2 linked regions of the Arabidopsis thaliana genome follow. The protein of the gene in region 1 interacts with the protein of each later gene in a pairwise test. Each region holds a gene or a part of one and is shown on either strand. Other genes may lie near its edges.

What was found.
Region 2: the proteins of AT5G54970 (region 1) and ESC interact in a two-hybrid assay, tested with the Arabidopsis thaliana proteins (one large-scale study listed by BioGRID).

Annotation. Positions count from the first base shown.
Region 1 is NC_003076.8:22,311,324-22,314,843, reverse strand, and holds AT5G54970 (uncharacterized protein), read right to left. Parts: upstream 1,869-3,520; 5' UTR 1,574-1,868; coding exon 1,196-1,573; 3' UTR 725-1,195; downstream 1-724. Other genes in the region: PDC2 (pyruvate decarboxylase-2), read left to right, coding at 2,163-3,520.
Region 2 is NC_003070.9:7,270,848-7,274,792, reverse strand, and holds ESC (Putative AT-hook DNA-binding family protein), read right to left. Parts: upstream 2,238-3,945; 5' UTR 1,770-2,237; coding exon 834-1,769; 3' UTR 721-833; downstream 1-720.

The sequences.
Region 1 (3,520 bases):
AAACATGAACGAAAACAATATCAAATAGGCTACGAGTTGTGTTTTCACATCATGTTTCATTATTTTAAAAGAAACAATTTGTGATTTGGTTGGTTTATTCGAATCTAGTAGTTTGGACGACTCACGTTTATGTAATCTCGTGATACGAGAACAATTCCACTCCTTTCAAAAAAGTGGTTCTCTCTCTCTTTTACCTCTATTTTGAGGTTGATTTATCAATGCACATGTGGAATAGTTGTAGTACTTGATGCATTAAATTTATACATAATGGGGAGATATTGAAAAAGTAGTAAAGATGAAGGATTTGACAATGAAGAGAGTTAAATAAAACTTTGAAGGGTAGAAAGTGAAAGTTATGAATGGTCTCTTACATATAACATACATATGTACTTGGGGATATCAACATCAATTAATAACCGATTGCATAATCAGAGGGTAAAGAGGTTCAGTTGGATCAGGATTCAAGTTCAACCATATGGGCAGCGACGTTTGCTAAAGGCAACATATAGATAACCATCATTACCCATTAGAACAAATGAAAGAAAGCATATAGATAAAACTTATTAACATCGAATGATGAGACTAAATAAACCAAGACCAATGTTCCATATGCGGTAATACCACCAAGCAAATGAAATCTGTTAACACCCATCGACAAACATAGGTAACCATTTGGTCTGAGACAATAGCGTCTGATAATAGCAGAAGGCAAACATTTTTACCCATCACAACAAACAGAGAGATAATCAAAACCTATAGATTTGAGATGTTTAGATTAAGCAAAGCAGAGAATTGACTGAGGTAACATAGCCTATGTCAATTACAATCTAACAAGATGATAACAAATTTGAGAAAAATATATGTAGTCTTATATCATTACTCTTCGAATCTTTAAGTGTTTGGCTAATCTTTCAAAACAGTTACAACACTTAAGAGTTACATATACATCATTAAGAATCCCAAAATGATACTCATGTAAGTGTTCATTAATATGTAGTGAAGGAATCTATAGTCAAATCCAAATCGTAAGATATCAAATCAACACAAACATTAAATTAACAAAGATAAACTCATCAATTGAAAACACACAATTTATTGATAATTTAATGATTCATATAGTGAGTCTTATGATAGTATTAAACATTTTACCCGAATTGTATCATCAGATTACAGATTTGGTAGAAACTAGTTTAACTCAATGAGCAATAACATCACTACTGGGTTCAACAAGAACTGAGTTTATAGGAGGATTGATATTCATCATCATCATCGACGAGACAGATCTAGCAGCGGCTAATTTCTTCCTCTGATAACTGTAAGGACCATAGATCTTTCTTAGAAGATGTGGTACCTGATCTATCGTCAGATTCCGCGAAGCCGCTGCTGCTTCATCAACCGAGTTCTCAGATGGTGAAATCGGATCTACTAGCTGCGAGAGGGAGGAGCGAGATACGAGAGATGTAGTAGATCTAGCGTTGATTCTCGAGTTTCGGATCTGAGCAAGCGCTCCTGGTTTTAAGTAGCGGTGGAATCCGTCGCTTCTTCTCGCCGGAGATTTAGAGATATCCTTCATGGTAACGATTTGGTTAAGCTTGGTGAAAGAGATTGAAGAATCTGATGATCGAGAGAGCGAGAAAGAGATTGTGGGAGATATGTGATTGGAGATTGGGGATCTACGGATTTTTGTAATTGAGTGAGAGCGGCGGGAAAATCGGCGTTAGGGGGGAAATACGAGTCTCTTTAGGGTTTCGAAAAGTCGCCAAGAGCGGGAGTTTCTTTTTGAGTCACGTGGTATTGACACGAACCGGGTCGGATCCTATATCCAATCGGGTCCTATGATGCCCTTGTGGGCTGCGCATGAGAGCAATTATTCTCTGCGGACTCACAACTATTCTCAACGTGAACTTTCTAACTTGTTCTCCAATATCCAACTATATAAGGACACGTGTCAATCTCAGAGACACATAAATATCTGCGGCTAAAAATATCTTATTAGCCGCCTATTTCATACCACCGTTTGATTACTTTAGCCACCGTTGTTTTACGTCTATAATTAAGTATCTTCCACTAATCTCATATTTCAAACTGTACTTTTACCTCGAGCTCTCTCCAATTTTCTCATAGCTCTATTGTTCGAAAATTCTGAAACGAACGTTACCACTATGGACACTAAGATCGGATCTATCGACGCGTGTAACCCGACCAACCACGATATCGGCGGTCCTCCAAACGGCGGAGTCTCCACCGTTCAAAACACAAGTCCACTTCACTCCACCACCGTCAGCCCCTGCGACGCGACTCTTGGCCGTTACCTAGCAAGACGGTTAGTCGAAATCGGCGTCACCGATGTCTTCTCCGTTCCTGGTGATTTCAACCTGACGCTTCTCGATCACCTAATCGCCGAACCAAACCTCAAGCTGATCGGTTGCTGCAACGAGCTTAACGCCGGATACGCTGCTGACGGTTACGCTAGATCTCGCGGTGTTGGTGCGTGCGTCGTTACGTTCACCGTCGGTGGATTGAGTGTTCTGAATGCGATCGCCGGTGCTTACAGTGAGAATCTGCCTCTGATTTGCATCGTCGGTGGTCCAAACTCCAACGATTACGGTACCAATAGGATTCTTCATCATACAATTGGTTTACCTGATTTCACTCAAGAGCTTAGGTGTTTTCAAGCTGTTACTTGTTTTCAAGCTGTGATTAATAACTTAGAAGAGGCTCATGAACTTATCGATACTGCGATTTCAACTGCTTTGAAAGAAAGCAAACCTGTTTATATCAGTATCAGCTGTAATTTACCGGCGATTCCTCTTCCGACGTTTAGTCGTCATCCTGTTCCGTTCATGCTTCCGATGAAGGTTAGCAATCAGATTGGTTTAGATGCGGCGGTGGAGGCAGCTGCTGAGTTCTTGAACAAAGCTGTGAAGCCAGTTCTTGTTGGTGGGCCGAAAATGCGGGTTGCGAAAGCCGCGGATGCTTTTGTTGAGCTTGCTGATGCTTCTGGCTATGGTCTTGCTGTGATGCCTTCTGCTAAAGGACAAGTACCTGAGCATCACAAGCATTTTATAGGGACGTATTGGGGAGCTGTGAGTACAGCTTTTTGTGCTGAAATCGTTGAATCTGCGGATGCTTATCTGTTTGCAGGTCCGATTTTCAACGATTACAGTTCTGTTGGGTATTCTCTGCTTCTCAAGAAGGAGAAGGCAATCATCGTTCAGCCTGATCGGGTTACTATCGGTAACGGACCTGCGTTTGGATGTGTTCTTATGAAGGATTTTCTAAGCGAGTTGGCTAAACGAATTAAGCACAACAACACTTCTTATGAGAATTATCACAGGATCTATGTCCCAGAAGGAAAGCCTTTGAGAGATAACCCGAATGAGTCTTTGAGGGTTAATGTACTGTTCCAACACATTCAGAATATGCTCTCTTCTGAGTCTGCTGTGCTTGCTGAGACAGGAGATTCCTGGTTCAACTGTCAGAAGCTGAAGCTCCCTGAAGGATGCGGTTACGAATTCCA
Region 2 (3,945 bases), on another chromosome or scaffold:
CCCTGTCGTAATTAAATAGCCAATTACACCAATCAATGGAATTTTCAACTGTAAGTACAAACGGCTAAAAAGACGTTCTAATCAGGCAAGTGGTTAACTACAAAATTTAGAACGATGCACGTTTTGATCAATATGTAAGCATATTCTTAACACCTTATATATAGATGGGTATATATGACAGTACTCTTAACACAATAACACCGTATAGATAGATAGATATGACACAGAAGTTGTGATCTTAAAAGGTATACTCGGCTAAAAGACGCTACAAGTACTCAAATGGTACGAATAATGAATTTAGATGCACAAAACGTATATATTGATCAATATGTATAATAATTTTCTAACCTTATAATGAATACTACATTGAGGTTGTTAAAAAGTTGAAAGAACTATATTATACTATGATTAAGGTAACGTATTGACGTATTGTAAAAATATTCAAATGAGCGCCTGAGATGTGCCCACATAATATTTCATCAAGAATACGCCGTGAAGCTCAAAATTCTTAAAAGAACAAACGAACTCATTATTGAATAGTCTAGACCTATATATCTATCAAATCGAGCTAATTATAATAATAGTTATAGGGTACAACACGAAACCCTAGCTATGAATAAAAGAAAGCCATATATGGAAAGGAATTTTCTAACATAACGAGACACATGCATTTCTCTAACATGTAACATCTACCGAAGATATGAGAAGAAAAGAAATAAACACGAGAAACCAAAATATGCATATCAACTAAACATTAAACACCAAATATCCCAAAGGAAAGACGACTCCACAAGATGATAAAAACACATAAATTTCCGGACATTAAAATTCAATTAAAAAGGTGGTCTTGAAGGTGTTCCAGCTCCCCATCCAAGCAAATGAGGATCACCAGAAAACCCATAACCACCCACATTACCTCCTAACTGTCCCTGACCGGTCACTCCAGACGGCGGAGATGCTGATGGAGCTTGTTGCATCTGCGGTGGCCCTCCTCCTCCTCCTCCTCCGCCACCACCACCTTCTTCTTCCTCCTCCTCAATCGGTAGTCTCTCGAAAACCGCATTTGAGAACGAAGCCGCCATTAGTATAACCGGAGCTGATGCAATAAGGGGAGCCACAACGCTTCCTCCGACCACCTGACCTTGCCCTCCGGCTAAAAATATAGACAAACCACCGGCACCAGGCGGTGCAGGAGGTGGCAAAACAGTCCCCGTTAGCGAAAGAATCTCAAACCTTCCATGTAAAGTCACAACTCCTCCTCCTCCGGACACACCACCGCCATTTCCAGGAGTGACTGGCTGACGGAGAGTGACGTTAGATACGGTGCCGTTTCCTCCTAAAACGGAGACGCCTCTCCCTCTCCTCCTAGCGTACGTGGAAACACTCTCAACTATGTCAGCTCCAGGAGATACTTCAAGAACGTGAGATCTAAGCGCGTTGGGGCTATCACGAGTTACTATGATCGGTGGCTTGGCTTTGTTCTTAGATCCTGGTGGACGTCCACGTGGACGTTTTCCCGGTGCTGAGCTTGATGTATTCGGGTCTGAATCGGGTCGACCCTGTTGATGATGATCTTTGTTTGAATGGTCAGATTCTCTTGAATCATCCGACGGTTGTTGTTGTTGTTGATGTTGCTGGTGCTGATGATGATGCTGGTCGATAAGATTGATCCCGCCCTGCGGTTGAAGCTGTTGGTGGTGAATCTCCGGTCTAAAGAGGTTATGGAAGTATCTAGAAGCTCCACCGCCTTGCTCGTAACCGCCTTCCATCGCCGCCGCATCTACTAATTCCCTATCCCACCACTGCTTATTCGCCAGCTCAAATCAATTTCTCGATTCTTGATCCTGCTCGTTCATATATTGGTAGCTAGGTGAAGAAGAGCGTAAAGAGAGAAAAAGAAAACTCAGATCGAGAAGTCAAAACTCATGATTTTGAGGAAACAATAGCTAAAGCATTAAGGTGTGATCGGTTACGCAAGCCGACAAAATATAGAAACAGACCAAGAACAGAACTAAATTAAAGACGAAGCAAAAGATATAAAAAAGGTGACTTATGTTAAATGATCTCTCTCATGAAAGGTAAGAGGAAACCCTAGTTAGGTAGATTAATTAGGGCAAGAGAAAGAAGTAGCTTCTTCTTTGCATAGGAGTCGTATTTAGCGATTCTGATGTGCTATGGGAAAAAAAGGAGAGAGAAGCTTGAGATTCATGTGCGACTCTGCAATAAATTTTTGGTCCTCTCATTGAACGAGGAAAGTAAAAGCAAAGACATACACCGAGAATTTAGCGGAGAAACAGTCCCCTTTATTATATCATTAATATAATAATTATTATTTGAATAATATGTTCTTTTTTAAGTAAATTAATACTATTTATTACATATACACAAATGCCGACAAAAAAATTTATGTGTGTAAGTGGTTATCCTTACATAAGATCTACCAAAGAAAACTAGGGGTTCGTCGCAGTTTTTGTTTGGCTCCAATCGGATAATACAAAAGAAATTTAGAGAAGGAATTCTTATATTTGAAAGCATGAGATAAGATTAACAGAAGAGATAACATTTGGTCAATTTGTTTATCAGATACTATTATATACGAGCTAAAGAAAACGTATCATTTAACAAAAAAAAAAAAAAAAAAAAAATGTCAAGTGGAAGTTGGGTACACAAGGATTAAAACGAATCCTACATTCCCTTTAAGGCGCGTGGAGGTTATGTTTAAACAAAAGTTATTTGATAAATGTTATTATCATGTTACTAACTTATTTATGGTTTTAGTAACTTAATTAAAAGGTTTTCGTATAAGTAAAAATGAGAAATAGTACTATTTAGTCTTCTCTTACTTGAGAAAATACTACTATAGGTCATTTTATTTAGAATTTTAATTTACTTACGCATCTTTTTATTGTAAAACTTAGTATAAACTTGCATTATTACTAGATATTTGTAGGCTTGTGATTTGCATAGTGCTGCTGATATATGTTATTATTCATATTCAAACTGGATGCAGAACGTGAGTTATATAGAAGAAGAAAAGAAAAAAAATTTACATGTATAGTATTATTATTAGTTTTGTCAACTAATTTTGTAAAAATATAATGTATAATAATTTAAAATAGATATATAGTATATGGCTTGCGAATACAATATTCTAAGAAGAACCCACGTTCTATAATAAACAAACGGATACGAACCATCTTTACTATAGAAAAAGAAGAAGAGAATTAGTCACTTTTAAGCGCTGCAGAACAACAATTGATTAATTCTGCTTGTGATGTGTTTTTTTTTTTTTTTGGTTGCTACTAAATTATCTTGCTAAACCCGAGCTAATTATATATCAAAGAATCAATGTTCTACTAAAGTACTTTATATTCACTTTTATTGTCAAGAGGGCATAAGGCGCATAACGTAGAACAATCAATCTAGGTAATGGTCCTTTGTTCTATACTGAGATAGTGAGATCTACCCATGTATACTCCTTTAAATATCGTAAAACGGAGTGGACCCTTTTTGATGATAAGTTTGGAGAAAGTTAATGATCCATTAATGTGATAAGACTAGCTGATAATTATCAAAATGTCAAATTAGTTGATACTACTACTTTATATTTTCAAAAATTATTGATAAGTACTCCACTTTGTTGCCTTATGTCGAATTTGGTGAATCACTAATTAGAACTACGCTTTTTCTAACATGGACAAAAAAATATACCAGAAAAAGACAACTAGACACTGATAATTTATTGATTTAGAATGAGTAATGTATTAGTAAAATTTTTTTTTGATATATCATCTTCATACAAATGATATCAAACTTTTAATTTACAAAAATTGTTTGGGAAACAAACGATAATCCTGAAAACACTTACCAATTGCATCAACCCATTCAAATAATTATTGACTTATTCATCTTAATTTATTGAACTGACTAAACTCGATCCGACCC